2 linked regions of the Schizosaccharomyces pombe genome follow. Changing the gene in region 2 together with the main gene of any one other region gives a genetic interaction. Each region holds a gene or a part of one and is shown on either strand. Other genes may lie near its edges.

Evidence for each region.
Region 1: mutations in med15 (region 2) and hrp1 are lethal when combined (synthetic lethality), as found in Schizosaccharomyces pombe (one study listed by BioGRID).

The regions. Positions count from the first base shown.
Region 1 is NC_003424.3:2,189,957-2,199,971, reverse strand, and holds hrp1 (CENP-A chaperone, CHD family Hrp1), read right to left. Parts: upstream 5,152-10,015; 5' UTR 4,956-5,151; coding exon 834-4,955; 3' UTR 525-833; downstream 1-524. Other genes in the region: autophagy-associated ubiquitin-like modifier Atg12, read left to right, coding at 8-146, 211-347, 402-524; histone deacetylase, Sirtuin family, NAD-dependent Hst4, read left to right, coding at 6,491-6,683, 6,809-7,863; CENP-P family protein Fta2, read right to left, coding at 7,909-8,964; vps66 (acyltransferase), read left to right, coding at 9,251-9,275, 9,463-9,727, 9,792-10,015. UniProt on the Schizosaccharomyces pombe protein: Seems to play a role in mitotic chromosome segregation and maintenance of chromatin structure. Has ATPase activity.
Region 2 is NC_003423.3:995,112-1,003,750, forward strand, and holds med15 (mediator complex subunit Med15), read left to right. Parts: upstream 1-1,571; 5' UTR 1,572-1,685; coding exon 1,686-1,759; exon of another isoform or gene 1,760-1,805; coding exon 1,806-1,908; exon of another isoform or gene 1,909-1,954; coding exon 1,955-4,969; 3' UTR 4,970-5,064; downstream 5,065-8,639. Other genes in the region: pumilio family RNA-binding protein Puf2, read left to right, coding at 1-958; SPOM_SPBC146.02 (uncharacterized protein), read left to right, coding at 5,900-6,691; cut3 (condensin complex SMC subunit Smc4), read right to left, coding at 7,378-8,639.

The sequences.
Region 1 (10,015 bases), on a different chromosome or scaffold from region 2:
GGTATTAATGACGGGATTAGTCGATCAACAGGAACTCGAAAAACGCTTGGCTACTGAGGAAGATAGCCAAAATGAGGATATCGAAAATCAGCTTCCATCCATTGAGACCATAATCAACACATATAGAGAGAAAGAGAATCGAAGAGGTTTGTAATGAATTAGTGCTAGCCTTCACGTTTCATTTTTCAATTGTTTAACCATTATTTTTAGTTAATTTACGATTTAAAGCAATTGGAAGAACACCCTTACTTCGAAAGACTGTTTTTTCAATCAATGCTAGTCAAAGATTCGAAAAAGTGACTCGGTTTTTAAAGAAAGAGCTTGGACTACCGATGAACTCTTCCTTGGTAAGTTTGTCCGCTTATACAAACTCAAAACTTTCTCTAACTTATAATCCATAGGTACTGTACGTTAATTCATCGTTTGCTCCTTCTCCTGATGAAATTGTGGGTAATCTATACGATAACTTTGCTATAGACAGTCATCTACTTATTAATTATTGTATCAACGTTGCTTTCGGTTAAGCTGCATTCTTCAAATTCTGTTCATTTATTATTGTCGAAAATCATATTTTCTGTGTTTAGTTTTAGATCTTTTGGTTACTGGTTATGAATGTGAAATTTCTTCTGTAATGTGTTTTAAAACCAAAATCGAGTCTATTCATTAATTTTCTAAATCGTGTAACTTTTTAAAAGTAAAGAATTACCCTGATTAAAATATATATATATAAAGTTAAGAAAATGTGTAAGCCAAAATTGTTTATTGAATTTTGTTACACTTGTAGTAACAAGGCAGCGTCAGCCTTAGACAGTAAAAAATCATCTTTTAACTCCTTATGCCTCGTTTTTTACTAAGGGACTTATGTCAGAAACGGTAGTATTTTCTTCGGTTTCTAAAGAGAGGTCTTCGGTATTAGGTTCGTTTACTGATTCCCCATTTTCCGATTTAACATGATCAACTTCTTCCTTCGCCTTTTCGTTAGACATGTTATCAAGCTCAGCGTCCAAAGCAGCCACCGCTGTCAATGTATCCATCGCGGAATGTGTCTTCATTGAGTTCCTAGTTGTTCTCTTATTAGAAGCTGCTTTACCACTATTTGATCTTAATGCACGCTTAGGAGGTTCAGCTTGTCTGGGTTCTTCTTCCACTTCATCTTCTCCCACTGTTCCTTCAGGAGAGGTTTCATCGCCTCGATTAGTTTCTTCTTCCTTCTTTTTCTTCGTACGACTACTTTTCTTTGTATTGCTAATAGAACCATCCAAGGTGGTTTGCCGAGTTGATGATTTAGTTGGCGCTTTACGATTATATTTGCGTTTTGTTGGTTGATCAGTCTTAACGACAAACAAATCAGGATGTTCACGAACAACACTAAGAAGATACTCTCCTCTACGTACAAGATGAACAGCACTAGGAACATAGCGTGACTCTTTGTCATTTTTAGCTTCGTCCAAAAATATTTTATCGTGTAAGCCTAAGTCCGGGTCATTTTTTATTGCTTGCCAACAACCAAACCCGTGTTTATTAATACCAGCTAAAAGCATAGAATCTTCTTTAATACCCCATGAACAATTCCAACTATGAACGCTTCGAATAGGATATCCAATTATCTGTTTCAAAGGATCAAGGCCTTTGTAAGCACGATGCAGGTGAGTTAAGTCTTTAACACGTAGCGTAACAGTTTCAGCATTAATATTTTTAACCCCTTTGAACTCAATCAAAATGGCTTTTCTAGGTTGCTTATTCTTAGTGTCATCTGCTCCCAAGCGTTCCACAGCCTCATCACAAGCCTTAACCATATCGGCGGATAAAGAATAAATACGTTTCGGGTCAGTAGCCTGTAACTCGGCTTCCTTGACTATTGTGTCAAACCGTTCATCCACTAACCCAAATTTGATCATGGCACGATAAAGAAGTCGAATCTCTTTTTCACGAACCATTTCCTCACGTCTTTGTTGACGCTTAGTGATGGACTTAGTGGTTCTTTTGTATGTTCTAGAAGGATGATCCTCATCATTCTCACGTTCTTCTTCTTCTCTTCGTTCGCGTTCTTCTTCCTTTGCTCGTTGAGCGGCAAGCATGCGTTCTTCCTCTTCGATGCGTTCCATTTCTTCTTCAGGAATAATGTCATCCCAATTTAGGTCTTCAGCCTTATAATCAGTAACCTCAAATTGTTTCAAAAATTCTTCACCACCCATACTTGCTCCACCCACGTCGTTAGAAGAATCACGATCTTCAGCGTGACTAAGTATATCATCCAAATTCATGTTTTCGAGCTTTTTCTGATTTTCAGTTGCCTTGAACATATTAGAAGCACCAAATTTTAAAATGGCACTCAGCTCTTGGGCATCATACTTATCGTTTTTGGAATTTTTTGATTTTTCAGTAACACCCAAAGAGATGATCGCATATTCTAAAATCATTTTTCTTCTTGCACGCTCTAATATATCCTCCTCGACTGTGTCTTTTGATAAAAAGCGGTAAACATTGACATGATTTTTTTGACCAATTCTATGCGCTCTTGCCATAGCTTGTAAATCTGCTTGGGGATTCCAATCAGAATCAAAAATAATAACAGTATCTGCAGTATTTAGGTTAATGCCTAGTCCCCCTGCACGGGTACTAAGTAAAAACACAAAATCAGGGCTATCTGGTGCATTGAAATGATCAATTGAAACTCTGCGTACAGAAGCTGGGATGGTACCGTCCAATCTTTGATAATTATATCCGCGCAAGGACATGTACTCTCCAAGAATATTCAACATACGAACCATTTGACTGAAAATTAATACGCGATGTCCATCATGTTTCAAACGCTGCAGCAGTTTATCAAGAAGTACCATTTTACCACTATTCATGATAATACCTCTCAGCGTATCTTCTCGAGTCATCTTTCTACCCATCATCCATTTTTCCGCTGCGCCAGGAAACAGATAGGGATGATTTGATACTTTTTTCAACTCTACAACTATATTGAGTAAGGATAGCTGACCTCGGCCATCGGTATGACCTGTCAAGGCGCGGTAATTTTTAGTTAAAATGTTCTTGTACCATTCAGTTTGCATATCAGATAGTTCGACTCGAAGAATACGCTCAGATTTGGACGGTAAAGATTTCTCTACATCTTTTTTTAAGCGACGGAGAATGAAGGGTTGTAATCTTTCTTGTAGATCTCGGATGTCGCGCTCTTGTTCAGCATTTGGTTGATCAAAATTTAATTCATCTCTAATGTAAAATTTTCCAGGCATCAAAAAATTAACCAAGGATGCCAGCTCCTTGAGATTGTTTTGAAGAGGAGTGCCTGTTATTAATAATCTATTGGCAGTCCGAAATTGAGATAAGGTCTCGTATAAAGATGATTCACTGTTTTTGAGTCGATGAGCTTCATCGATAGCAAGATATTGCCAGCGAATATTGTTGAGTTCTTGCTTATCTTTCAATATATACTCATAGGTCGTAAGTAGAATGTTAAATTTAAGCTTGCGAGAATTCGTAGAAAGGTAGAATTCATACTCTCTAATATTAGCACGAGATTCCGTATTACCTGTATAGCAAATACTATTCAAATCAGGTGTCCAATTGGCCAATGTTTCTTGCCAAGCCGGAACAGTGGAAAGCGGTACGACAATAAGGAAAGGACCGTGTTGTTTTAAAGAATGGACTAAATAAGATAAAAAGCACACAGTTTGCACGGTTTTACCCAAACCCATTTCATCTGCTAAAATACCATTTTCATTCCGGTGCCATAAATATGCCATCCAGTTTATACCAGTAAGTTGAAAATCACGGATTTCCCCCCCTTTAATGTAAGATGGTTGCTTTTCTAACTTGCGGTACGGGGGACGGGTGTTATAGAAAACACCTTTATAAGGGAGATACGGACTGTTTTCACGTTGCAAGAATTGATAAACTTCATTTGGTGCCATAGAATAAATTACGTCGGCATCTTCCCATGTGCAATTATCATAAGGAAGCTGCCTCCACTTTACAAAGTATTCTGTTTTTCCTTCTTCGTTAGTTTCAGAAGCTACTATGCGTTCGACAATTTTATACTCTTCAAAAAGCATATTTTTACGTTCGCGTTCAATATCCAGAGCTTCGATATCTTCAAAGGTTGTAGTTGGATCTTCACGAATCTCGCGATCATAAATGATGTTTTGCTTTATATAATTGTCGACTTTTTTGTAGCCCCTCACAGAAGAAAGCGTAGAATAATCTTCCCAAGTATTATGAAGATGGGAAACTTCCTGCCATTTAATTAAATACTGATAGCTAGACTTCGGGTCATCGTCTTGTGCATCCGCTCGCTTTCGGTGATTTAAAACGAAATCAATAATAGGCTCATATTCCTCTTCGACCTGTTCTTCTACTTCCTCTTCTTCGTCCTCGAAGTCGTCGTAAAATTCTTGTTCATTGTAGTTGACGCTTTTACCTTTTGAAGATCGCAATGAAGTACGGATTTCGGTTCCGGAAGCAGAGTTAATACTGAATCTATGTCTCTTATCATATGCGTCTTCATCATCGCTAGCCACAGACTTTTTTTGCTTTGGTGCAGGTTTGCTCTTTCGTTTTTTAGGAATCGGAATTTCATGCTCGTCAATTTCAGTATAAGAGAAATCACGATAAACGGGTCGTTTAGCCCTTGAAGAACGTCTTGTACCATCTACTCTAACATCGTCAGAGTTTTGCGCATCGTCAATTTTAGGGGTAGACAAAGCAGAAGATACAACTGTGCTATTAGCAGTGCTGGTTACGATTTCAGAATCATCAAAGGCAGAAGACGATAAAGATTGCTGCGAAGCGAAAGAATTTTCATGATTTAACAGGCCATTCATGCTAGGTAGAGAATTTGTTGTATTTCCAAACTGAGGATCAGTTACTGCAGAGCCATTTAAAGTAGACTCTTGAACGCTCGTAGGATGATTTTTTAAATCATAATTCGAATGTTCAGGCTCCATTCTTGTTACTCCAGAAAATTTATATAATGTTAAATGTTGAGAACGTCCACAAAGTAGGCGCTCCTTTGCAGACTCTCTTTTAAAAGCTTAAAATGCTTTTTTTTAAATATATATCTGGATATTAACAGTGAAGCAACAAAGGATTAATAGGAATAAGCAGTATGCCTATAAGGCTATTAATTGAAATTACTATGTTGTTGGCAGAAATTAATAGTGCAAAAATATGCAACACTATAAATGAAATGCCAGGCAATGCAGGTGATTTTGGTATCAAATTACTTCTCCAGAGTCCCTTTTTATTAATAAAATTTACCTTTTGAGAAGGATTCACTATTTTTACTCATGCAATTTCCACTCTCAATTTTTGCGAAAATGCAAGACCTTTACAAACAAAAAAATCCTTTGCCATAAAATGTACGAGCTATTCTCATTCACTCCATGGAAATTAAGTTAGCTTACAATTTTCATTTCCGGTTCGTATTTCCGAGCAAGTCTGCAGATTTTATTTCATTTTCAAATTAACTGTGCAAAACGTGAAGGCAAATTCGTATTTCATAAAATGCTTCAGTTCGCATGCTTTTATTAAATTTAAAGATCATTAATTTCAAAAAATTTCTATATATTTTATTGTTTACTATCCCATAACGTTAAATAGTTTACACAAAAACGTCGAAACTTTTCACATAAACGTATGCTTCTTTGTTTCAATTGTTCATGAAAACATAATGTATTTATTTACTTCTTTAATTACAATTGAGAGGGGAATCGAGACAGAGAAAACAATAGTTTCTGAAAGAAATAAACTAATTAAAAATTTGACCGATTGGTTTTACTAAATTTTTTTAACTGCATGGATATTTTACCAAAGATTCAAAGATATATTTATTGGTTTTGTTATTTTTTTGAGAATTTTATGAAAGACTTCACCTTCCAACTTTTTCAATTAAATGTCAAGGAAAAATACTGTACTTAAAACTCTTGAAAGTTTTCCCAATATTTAAGAAAATGGAACTTCAATTGTTTTTTTAAATTTTTGCAATCCCTTTTTGTTTTAATATTTTTATTACCAGTTTCTGTATATATTTATTTATTTCATTTGACTATTTAGACAATTTATATATTGATAGAAGGAGAAATCTCAGAAGGATTATTGAAGACTTAATTTTATTCTTTTTATTAATGTCAGCATGAAAGCTGATTTTCTAGTCTGAACATTTTATTAAATGGGTAAAAACAAAAAAATCAGTACTCTAAATAAACATTGGTTCAACGGCATTTTTAAAAGTGAATAGAGAAAAAAATTGCGATTACTGTTATACAAAGACATGGCGAAATTGAGTCTTTCAAGCGATATAATTGTCCTTCAACGGCCTTTCGAAACGTACGTAGACACAACCGCCTAACCGTCAATCACAACTTAATTCCTCAACCATTCCATTTTAGGAAGAAGTCGAAGAGTTCAATGATTTTAATATATTTTAATTAATGCACTCAACTTTTTGGATTTAAAAAATTCCAAATTTACGTAGCTTAGTATGAAAGTGGAGGAGCACGTCCCTCTAATACAGGAGTCGAGGAAGAGAAAATGCCAATCTTCTGAAAATGCTTCGAAAAGGCAGCAATTACTTTCCAAGCTTCCACTTAGACTTCATACAGGCAATGAAAATGTCGATTTATCTCCTTTAGTTTCTGCCATTCGCAAGGCAAAGCGCATAGTCGTTGTTACTGGTATGTTGCTTATTTATGGTTTTCCTTCTTTTATTTTAACTTTTCACTTAAAAAAAAAGTGGGATTAAAAAAAAAATTAAATATTATAATCGTACAAAGGCTCATTTACTAATACGTTTAAACAGGTGCTGGAATTTCTTGTGATGCTGGAATTCCTGATTTCCGTTCCTCTGAGGGTCTTTTCTCCTCCCTTCGTGCGGAGTATAAATTGAACTGCTCCGGGAAGGAATTGTTTGATGGATCTGTTTACAGAGATCTTAAGAGTGTTAACATCTTTCACGCAATGATTAGAAAGCTACATATGCTTTCTAATAATGCACGCCCCACTGATTTCCATTTATTTTTATCTCAACTAGCCCAAGAATCTAAGCTGTTACGTTTATACACACAAAATATTGATTTTTTAGAAACCAGACTCGAGGGCCTTCAAACATGTATTCCATTGCCGCAGTCTGCCCCTTGGCCTACCACGATTCCTCTTCACGGGACACTGGAAGTTGTAAGTTGCACAAGGTGCAGCTTTTTGAAAAAATTTAATCCAGATATATTTGATAGAAATGGTGTTACTGTTTGCCCTGACTGTAAAACCGAGAACGAGGTTCGTCGTATAGCAGGAAAAAGATCAGTTATCGAGGGTTGCCTTCGTCCTCGGATTGTTTTGTACAATGAGATACATCCGGATTCCGAATCTATTGGTTCGGTCTGTTCACAAGATTTAAAGTCCCGCCCTGACTGTCTAATTGTTGCTGGTACTTCTTGTAAAATCCCTGGTGTCAAAAGAATTATCAAGGAAATGAGCAACTGTGTGCATAAACAGAAGGGAAATGTTATTTGGTTGAATTATGACGAACCTACGAAAGATTTTTTGAACTTATGCGACCTGGTTGTACAAGGAGACCTTCAAATTGCTATTAGACGTCTGAAGCCTTTATTAGATGCTCCAAGTTGGAAACTCAAGTCCCATTCTGCCAAAAGAACTTCAAAACAAAAATCTTCCGAACAAACAAAGATTACTTCTTCCACTAAAATTACGAAAGCTATTGGCTTGAACACGAAAAGCAATGATAGTTCTAAGAAAGATAACACTTCTTTTCAGTTGCACCAAGTGCTCAATAGTATTGAAATACCCAAGGTGGAAATTAAACAAGAAGTTGAATATGCAACCCCTTCTCCGCTTTAACATTTAGCTTCAATAAACCATGTTAAAAATATCAATTTATCCTTCTTACCCCAAATGAGGTTTAAATAATGCCTGTAATAATAGTAGTGAACCTTCTCTGAATCCGAAAAGCGATACAAATTCCGAAAAACGTTTGTCTAATTGATTAAGCAACTTTGATGTGATGCTTACAATTTTTTCATTTTGATTCTTTAGTATATAAGAGATGCAGTAATTAGGTTGTACAAAACCAAGATCATCAAATTTTATCTCATAAAGTATTGTAATTTTGTAAAAGGAATTTTGAACATAGAAACATTGAGCGTCCATGTTTGCTGATGCCACTTTTTTCATATGCTTTGATAAATAAAACCACGTATTGCAGCGATATGAGTAATGGTGGGCAAATAATGAGAACGCTCTCAAAAGAGCTACTATATCGAGACATTGTATTGCAGAGTCCGAAAAACTACTGAGCTCTTTTCTAGCAAAATGCGGGATTTTATAAGTAATAAATAAAAGAGCATAATCGATTGTTCGGACCTTAATTTCTAGTAAAAATTTGAAGCTTGGGAGATATTCTATATCTCCTTTAAGAGAATGATGAATGATTTTCTCGGATTCCGCTTCAAATTCATGTTGTGTGAAACGAATGGATGATATGGACGAATTCAATTTAACATGTTTTTTGGGTTCAGCAGATGGCATAACTTGCTTTGTTTTAGGATTATCAGGGTTTTCGGTATTATAAATTACTACAGAGGAATCAATCTCTAATAATGATTTTATAAATCCGCTTAAAAACGAATCGTCGCGTTGGTTAATTGCATTTCGTCTAACCCTCACCTCTTTCTCAAGAAGCAGGGTTTGATGTACAAGGTTACTCCTTTTGCGCAAAAGATCCATTTTTCTGTCAGTGTCTACTCTTCCGTTGCTAGATTTGGATTGTCCACTGTTTTCATTAGGCCTCGCTCGTGAATCTACGCGAGGCATGCCATTTAAAGTAGTATTTGGGCTTCGGTGAGCAACAGTACGTTTTGTCTTTTTTTGTTGCGAATCACTATCATCACTACTGCTAGATCCTTCTTGTTGAGAAATTTGACTATATCGCCTACCGGACATTTTGATATTTATAGTCGTACGCGATAATAGTATCAGTATTACTACAATTAACAATGCTCGTGCAAAAGTGTTTTAATACTTTTTATGCAACATTAATGAAAAATCCAAAATCCTCAAATGGTGGAACAAATGCATATAGTATATAGTCATGGTCAAAGCAACACTTAAACCTAGAAGTGAATCTTAGTAGCTACCACTTTGAAATCACTACTTCATTTTTACGACTGAAATCCATATTACTCTACTAAAAATAATATTTGTAATATTTTATCATTTTCATTGTGAAATGGAGAAATTTACTCGCTGGAGAGGTAAGAATATGCAATACTTTAAATGCTTGATTGTTCACATAAATGTTGTTTAAATAGAACGCAAAAAAAAATAAAAGCAAAAAATAGAAGCCAATTATTTTGTATTATGATTCTTGACTTTAAGATCGAGTGTTTGTCAATTTCTCTTAACAAAATGACTTTAATGCAGATTCATTAACCCTTTTAGATCCGGGAACGGGCATAGCTCCATTCCATCCTATAAATACAGAAACTCCTAGTGGATTTAATTTTAAATGGATCCTTATAGTTGTTGTTATGATATTGCGAGTTCCTCTTTGCATCATTTCTGTAACATTATGGTTTCTCTGGTCTTGTTTTTTGAAACCTATACTATCTATACAGCCGAAACTTAGTTTTTTTATTGATTCGAGTCTCTCCCGTTTACTCCTTTTATGTTTTGGATGTCTTAAATTATCAAAGTCAACTTCAGGGTATGCCCATTAAGTCCCTCGTGCATCTTACATTTTTTATTTTTCAGAAACTAATCATGAGTAGAAGTTTCGTTCAGGGTGATAGCCTTCAACCGGGTGATATCTTGGCAGTGAATCATTCAAGCCCTTTGGATGTACTTGTGTTGTCTTGTTTATATAACTGTACTTTTGCTGTGTGTGACTCAAAAACTTCGAATGTCTCAATTATTAGTGCTCAGGCTTATTTTTGGTCGTGTTTCTTTAGCCCTTCGAAACTAAAGATTACTGATGCTAAACCTCTTGCTAAAG
Region 2 (8,639 bases):
ACCCAAACTTCGTCAAGTTCGTAAGCGTATTGATAATGGTCTTTGCACTCAGGAAGAAGTTGAAGACATTGCCATTAATTGGCTTGATGAAGTATCAGACTTATCGAGCGATCATCTTGGTAACACCGTTGTACAAAAGCTATTCGATTATTGTTCAGACCCCGTAAAGGAAATGATGCTTGAACGCATCGCTCCTCATTTGGCCCAAATTGGTATTCACAAAAACGGTACATGGGCTGCTCAAAAGATTGTTGACGTGGCATCAACTGAGGCACAAATGCGCCTTATTGCTAAACACTTGCAGCCCTACATTCCACTACTTTTTGCTGATCAATTTGGCAACTATGTTGTGCAAACATGCTTGAAATTTGGTGCTCCAATGAACGATTTTGTTTTTGAAGCCATTCTCAACCAGTTTTGGGTAATTGCTCAAAGCCGTTATGGATCACGTGCCGTCCGCGCCTGTTTAGAGAGTCCTGATGTGACTGAAGAACAACGTGTACTTGTTGCTGCTGCTATAACAGTCTATTCCGTACACTTAGCTATGAACGGTAATGGTACGCTACTGTTAACTTATCTTGTTGAAAATATGAACTATCCTCATATTCCTATTCTTTTAACCCGGAGATTTGTTCAAGACATTGTTAGAGTTTGCACTCATCGACTAGCTTATAATTCCCTTCTTAAAATAATTTCCATATCACAAGGTGATACTGCTTGTGGTGATTTAGTCGTTGATGCTATTTTGGATACGCAAAATGATCTCAATCCAAACTCTTTAGAGAAAATACTTTTCGAACAAACTTATGGTCCGTCTTTTATTTGCAAACTCTTGACTCACGAAAATATATCAGCCTCGCATCGACAACAGTTACAAAGTGCTGTTCGAAACGTATTGGGCACTATGGAGGATCGCGGATCCTCTGAATTAAAAAAGCTGGCTGAGGTATGTGCGTAAATAACTGCATTATCGAACATTTATGAGAAAAAAATTTTGGTTTTCTTCATGGCAAGCAAGGATTCAACTATTTTTGATATATATTCAACAGTTTATATCTTTTATTTAGAGCCAGGAAGTTAGCATTATGATGATTATAATAACGTTTACAACTATCGCTTAGAAAAGGAGAGTTTTTCGCTCCCCAGTAATCTAAGAGCAAAAACCATTTGTTTCTGTTGATATCTATTTTCAGTCCAGTTTATTGTTTTTATTATTAATGAAACGTTACGCCTTTAAACTATACTTGAAAAGTTATTTTGGTGGTTTAATATCCTCTACACTTACATTTAGCTATTATATAATATATATTAACGAAATTGTGGTACACAAATATTGAAGTAGGATAAGGTTAAAGACTGGCATAATCTACCAGCCTCTGATAAACAAGTATGCTGTTGCTTTAGATTATTTCTATCTTAGATTTATACTAAATAATGAATTTTAACGTGTTCTCATGTATCAGCGACCGTGATTTAGCTTATCATCGATAGCTGTGAGCAAACCACTGTATTGGTTACCTTGTGACGATCAGCGCTGATATATGGTGTACGGTAACTTAAGTTCGTCTTCCACCGACCATCAGCGTTGCAATAAATATATTTGCAAAATTATCAGAAATAACTGGTACGCTTTTTAGTAATGTACAATAATTCACTAACGTCTTATAGATCATATATTTGGAGGGATGAACCGGAATGTTGATAAGGGATGGCAAGCACAAATTCGTCCTAATGAGAGACAGAGCATTGCCTTGCAAATGTATGCCATCATTTTTTAAAACCCTTCATCTAACTTTTGTATTTAGTGCTCAAACTTTACGAATTATCTCTCCCTCAATTTCCGAAGTCCAACTCATGAATATGGCTTTGTCATTTGAGCGTCAGGCTTTTGATGGTGCCAGTAGCAAGGTATTGAAAAAAAAAATTCAATTAATTTTGTACTTACCAGTAATAGAATGAATACTTAACTACATGTGGCAAGAAGACAGCACAATTGAGAGATCAAATACGTGACACATTGCAGGCAACCCAAATGAAACAAATGCCTTCTGTGTATAACAATGCGGGTAATGTTGGAGCTCTCCCTACTGCCGGACCTAACAGGTTGGCAAATAATCCCAGAGTAATGCCGAGACTTCAAAACCAAAATGTTCCAATGCAAGCAGGAATGCAACAGTTTGCTAGAAATATGAAGTTGACCCCACAACAAAGGCAATTTTTACTTCAACAATCTCAAATCCAGCAACAAAGGCAGCAGCAACAGCAGCAGTCGCAACAACCTCAACAAACACAACAACCGCAAGCTTCATCACCAACAGCTCCCAATACAGAAGCAAACCAACAAAGATCTGGTAGTGTTCCTGGTCGAATAGTTCCTGCATTGACCCAACAACAGTTAAATAATTTATGTAATCAAATTACAGCTTTGCTTGCAAGGAATGGCAATCCACCAATTCCTATGCAAAAATTACAATCGATGCCACCTGCGAGACTTATTTCAATATATCAAAACCAGATTCAAAAATTTCGTTCATTGCAGCATATGCAGCAACAACAGCAGCAACAACAACAACAACAACAACAACAACAACAACAACAACAACAACAACAACAACAACAACAACAACAACAACAACAACAACAAAAGCAAGCTCCGCAAAATGCTTTTTTTCCAAACCCTCAAGGTAACGTTGGTGCCCAGTCTCTTCAAAGTATGTCTCCACAAGACCAACCTTCTACTCAGCAACAGCAACCTCAGCGAACTGCTGCTCCTCCAAATAATCCTAATGTGAATGCTACGAATAATAACCGTATAAATATTGAGATGCTAAATATCCCGGTTCCTAAGCAATTGTTCGATCAAATTCCTAATTTACCTCCAAATGTCAAAATATGGAGAGATGTGTTAGAATTAGGACAATCTCAGCGTTTACCTCCGGAACAATTGAAGCTAATAGGTATGCTATATAGAAAGCACCTACAAATTATTTTGCAGCACCGACAGCAACAGCTTAATAAAATACAGAATGCTCGAATGAACTCGCAAAATGCCCCTAATACCAATAAACTGGGGAATCCACAACCTGATAATACGGGCAACCCCCAAGCGTTCTCGCAGCAAGCATTTGCTCAGCAACAGCAACAACAACAACAGCAGTTGCACCGTACTTCTAATCCTACAAGTGCTTCTGTTACTTCACAAAATGGCCAACAACCGATCAATACAAAGCTTTCAGCTAATGCCGCCAAAACTAATTATCAAAGCTATTTGACAAATAAGGCTCGCAACGCTACTCAACCCACTCAGCCGCCTGTATCTCAGGTCGACTATTCAAATAATCTACCTCCTAATCTTGATACATCGTCTACATTTAGAAGTTCTGCAAGTCCTCCTTCAGCTTTTACGAAGGCGGGGAATGAAGCACTTTCAGTTCCTCTTAGTGGTGCAAGAAACACCGCTGCTTCAAGGCCTACAAACTTAGCGGCTGGAAATAGTAGTGCTTCTATCGTTCAGCAACTGCTTGAGTGTGGAGGAACTATGGGACAACAAAAGATGACTTCGCGTATTCGAGAACTCACCGAAAGAGTAATGCATAGTTTGATGCGGCCAGTGCCTCTTGATTTGCCTCATGATCAAAAGGTTATGATTGCGAGTCTTATCAAATCTGCATATCCTATGTTTAGCCGTACAAATCAACTGATTTGCCTGTTTTACTGTTTGACAGGCAATGAGGAAGCCACGATTCAATTGATACAAATGCGTCATATATTTAAATTACAACTTGAAGGTCTTCAGCAAGGTGTTTTTACTTGTGCTCCGCAAACATTGGCCAAGATTAAGGAGAAAACCAGTCGCTATTTTGCCTTTGTGAAAGCTCAACTGTTAAGACTTCACCATGAAGTAAATAACAATAATATGAGTATTCAAAATGCTCTTGCCCATATCTCCTCGCTCCGTACTGCATCTATTAATCAACAGCAGCAGCCACAGCCACAGTCACAGCAGCAACAACAGGCTTCCCAGTTTCCTCAAGCTCCTTCTGTATCATCCAATGTACGTCCTATCAATGGATCAATTCCTAATGCGCAACCCAGTGTTCCTGGGCAAGCCCAACCTGCAGCCAAAGCAAATTCTGTTGGTAACACATCTTTTCCTGTTGACAGTAAACTTGCATTCCAATCCTTGGATGTATCTCAGCCGGATTTGCAAGCCAAACAGAAGATTGCATCACAAGTCATGAAACATGGTTTAAAACCAGAAGATCTCAAGTTACCGCCTTCTAAGAAGAAAAAGATAGAAAACTTATCGACAGTTCAAAAACCTAAGGATTCAGTCGTAAATACTCCTGATGTTATAATGTCAAGTGTAGATGAAATACCTTCTAGTGTTTCTCCAGGTACTATAGCCAAAGAGGAAGGAATGGCTAAAGCTCGGGAAGAAGCAATTGCTAATCCTTTGAAGTACGCAATCGATGCATTTGTGGCTGTAGACCATGAAGAAGAAGTTTCTGCTATCAAATCATCACAGACTCCTAGTTCTATTTTGAAAACACCTCAGTCGTTTTTCATTCCTCCGTCAACTCCAGATTTATCATTTACAGATAACAAAAACTCACTTAGTCCATCTAATATTTTGTCATTGGACGGAAAATTTTCATTTAATGATGATTCGGAGCTTTGGGCTGATTTAGGTAATGAAATCAACTCTGAAATCGGATTTTTAAAGGAACCAGATACCATGAATCTTGCTTTGGATGCAGATAAAGATAAGACTAAAATGCAAAATAAGCTTACTCAAATTAATTTTGATGAATCATGTTTTCTAGATCCAGCGATCGACGATAAAGATCCATGGAATGAAATGCTTCATGAAAAGAAAGTTTTGCTAAAGCAGCTTCAAGTGGGTAACGAAGATGAAGACAACATCGCATTTCCAACATCTACAAACATATGGCAAGTTGTGATTTAAAATTTTGTGATACGATGGTTCGCAATTGTTTTTTATTTATTTATTGCACGTCGTCTCAAAAAGCAAATTGGACATATTTGTCCTTCTACAATATCTTATGAATACCATAGACATATATTGTTTCTCTGTTTATTCAACGTTTCTCCATTTTTTGAAAGCATCTGTTATGTTGAAAATTGTGATTGGGAAAAGGTTTGTATAGTCCTTGTGTTTATATACAATGATAAAAATAGAACCTGAATTTAATATTTTGAAGATCCGGTTGTACCTTTATTAGGCACAATGCCAGAAAGTATGGCTTTTTCCCGATTAATGACCTGTCTATGAGACTCATTGTGAACATGAAAATGTCGGTATAATGAGGACCGTTACAAATTTTATTTATTCATACGTTTAAGTTGATTTTAGTTAATTTATTATTAGTGCACCGGTTGGTGTTGAAAATTAATTTGTAATCTCTTAAATGAATATTTGTATAGTTTTTAATGTTTACTATCTCAAATATTCTAAAAGTAGCTATCAGTTTATGTTTTTGCTTTGGTTCAAGAGCTTTGGTTTAACCTAACCGCCAAATAGCTATCTCGAATTACCATCTAACATGAGAAAACAAATTAATATTTCAAAACTCCCGATAATTTATTGAGCTTAATAATTAATTAAAATTTACGTATTATTGAAGTCAATAAAAGCTTTCTTTGTCTTCCATGAACAAAGAAACCTTGTGATCTCAGTCTTGTATATAACACGCTAACTCGTGGCCTACTGTAAATAAAAGTTATCTTACTAACGATATATTATTTCTTGATTCATTGAAATAAGAATCGTAGGATTTAACAATAATTGAATACAGAGATCTCCTAGCTTCATTATTAAGTACAAAATAGTCAATTAATTTTTTTATCAAGCAGATTAATTGCTTTTAAACTTACAATGAATGGTATAAGGAAAAAACCAGCAACCTTGCAACTCCATAATATAAAAACCAGCTGTTTCATTGATGGCAGTGATGATCAAAGCGATAGAACAAGGTCAAGTTCTGGAGATAGCACCTCTAATTCACTGAAGCTATCACATCATATATCTGACGAACTGATCAATGCCATATATAAAGAGTTAAAGTCGCCAGTATCACCTTGGGACAAAAACATTTCGCAGCATTCGCCATGGCTGTTGGAAGCGGCATCGAACTCCATTGGTGATTCAAGTCCTTTACTTTCACCAATCTCTCCATTAAAGTTAAGATTTCATAAATATTCGGTTTCGAAACAGCTAAACAGCGTTGGAAAGCAGGGTTTTGGTCTTTCTTCAAACCATAGTCGTTATGCCTCACCATCCTCCCCTGCACGGCTTGCAAGAGGTGCACTTGGTGAGGAACTTAGCAATTCGCAATACAGATTAGAATGCGCCGCAATTCAGAAGCTTGTTGCTCAAAAACGAGCCAATAGAAGGAGTAGTAAAAGCACTTTAAAAAATTCTGCAAATGATATAGAGTTTTTCGATATTGAAGAAGTTTCCTCTCGCAAGGGACTAATAGACAGAACACCTTCTAAAAGAAATGTTACTTCCCGAGTTTCTGATGCGTATTCTCGTCTTAAATCTGCTGTGAAAGGCGAATCAAGCTTGTCCTTTAAAAGAAACCGATCGAAATCGAAGAGGAAAATTCAGCACCTGGGTTTGACTGAGTTTAATGGGTGGGAACACCATCAGTGCGACTGGCTATAAAATAAGTGTTACTCAGATGCTCCATGTTAGGCTACATGGTGCTAGCCATGTGGTAATTAACATTCATTTATTTCCTTCATTACTTTCTTCCTTAGTCCTCCTATCTCTTATTAGCTGGAAAGCTTTTATCATTTGCATTTTTCTTGTTAATTGGTCTTTCATTTATCTCGTCGTGTGCATTGAGATTTCCTATTTAAGTTTACGACTCATATTGTTTAATCTAATTTATTGTTTGTTTCTAATTATTCTTAATTTACTACCATAAAATTAAATTACTTAAAATTGGATACGTTCTATATGGTATGCATACGATTGCAATAAATCTTTAAAAGCATTACCCACTAAAATATTATACTATGTAACTACAAATTGTAGATACCTTCTGAAATTGATGATGTAAACAACATATTTAATTATATACAATTCCTTTGCGCAGATTTTACAGGCTTTAAAAGCGAGTGAAGATTAATTTTATATATTTGTAGTCCTATTACGTTCATAAACAGATTTCTGAAACATTAACATAAACTGGGTGCCACAAAACTAAATTAGTTTAATCTTCTCATAACATAGATTTATTAGTATGCACACTGTGAATTATGAAACACTGACATTCAGTAGCCAAAAATTCGTAAATTATTAAATATCTAGTTTCCAATTTTCTACGTTTTTATTTGAATGTGCAGTTAATCTGTAAGTATTTCCTTGTTGTTGATTGTGACACTCTTAGTCATATTCGCCGTTTTATAAATGCCAACCAAACGAGAAGATAACTCAAACATATTACTTCTTAAAGAAATAACAATAAACTGCGCGTTTTTAGTTCTTTCCTTAATGTAATTCGCAACAATCGAAACGTTTTTAAAGTCTAATGCAGCATCGATTTCGTCCATAACGTATAAAGGAGTCGGTTTGTAATTATGTAGAGCAAAGACAAGGGCTAGAGAACTTAACGTCTTCTCTCCTCCCGAAAGGTTAGATATGTTCTTCCAAGATTTTTTGGGAGGCATCACACTAAACAATACCCCCTCAGAAAACGGATCCAAACTATCCACTAACTCAAGCTCTGCGTTTCCGCCCATAGTAATAATTTGATACATTTCTTTAAGCTTCATAGATATAATTCCAAATCCGTACATAAACTCATCGAGCCTCTGAGATTGAAGATCTGTAACGACTTTTTTCAAATCGGTTCTTTTTTGCAATTCACTTTGGTAATCAGAATCACGCTTTTCTGCTTCCTTGTTACATCTACGATATTCAGACAAAACATTGATATCTACTTCTCTGTCTTCAGTTTTCTTTTTCAAGACTGAAATATTAGAGACCAGCTCGCTTTTATCAACTGAACTCAGTTCATCTTCAGAATATTCGGGAAAAGTTGAGTCCATTGTTGTCTGGTCACAAAATTCAGTCAAATTGTGTAACTTCAGATTTGACATGAGCTTTAAATATTTATTTTCATTATTGCCGACCTCTGATAATGCCGTACGCTGCTCTTGAATTTGATTTTCCAATTCAATCCTTTCTGCTTTAACGGAATTCATTTGCTTAGATTCAAATTCAATAAATTTTACTAGTTCGTCGATAGAGGAATTGATGTCCCATAGAGCATTTTCAAATTCGCGGAGCCGAGATTTGTGTTCATCCACATACTTGTTTAACGATTGTAGTTCAGTCTTTAAAGTGGCTATACTTTCAGTAGTTGTATCGTACTCGCTAGTAAGGTTTGATAGTTCAACTTGGAAAGATTGACTGCGTTGCTCATTCTTCTTCTTCTTGAAACTCATTTTGTTAAGCTTGTCTTTAACAAATTTGAGTTGCTCATGCAAATCGTCGACCTTTGATTTTTGTATACGATATCGAATCCCACCTATTTCCATGATCTTATCTTGTAACGTCTTAATTTCAGTGACAAGGCCTTCATTGTTAATATTTATGGCCTCAA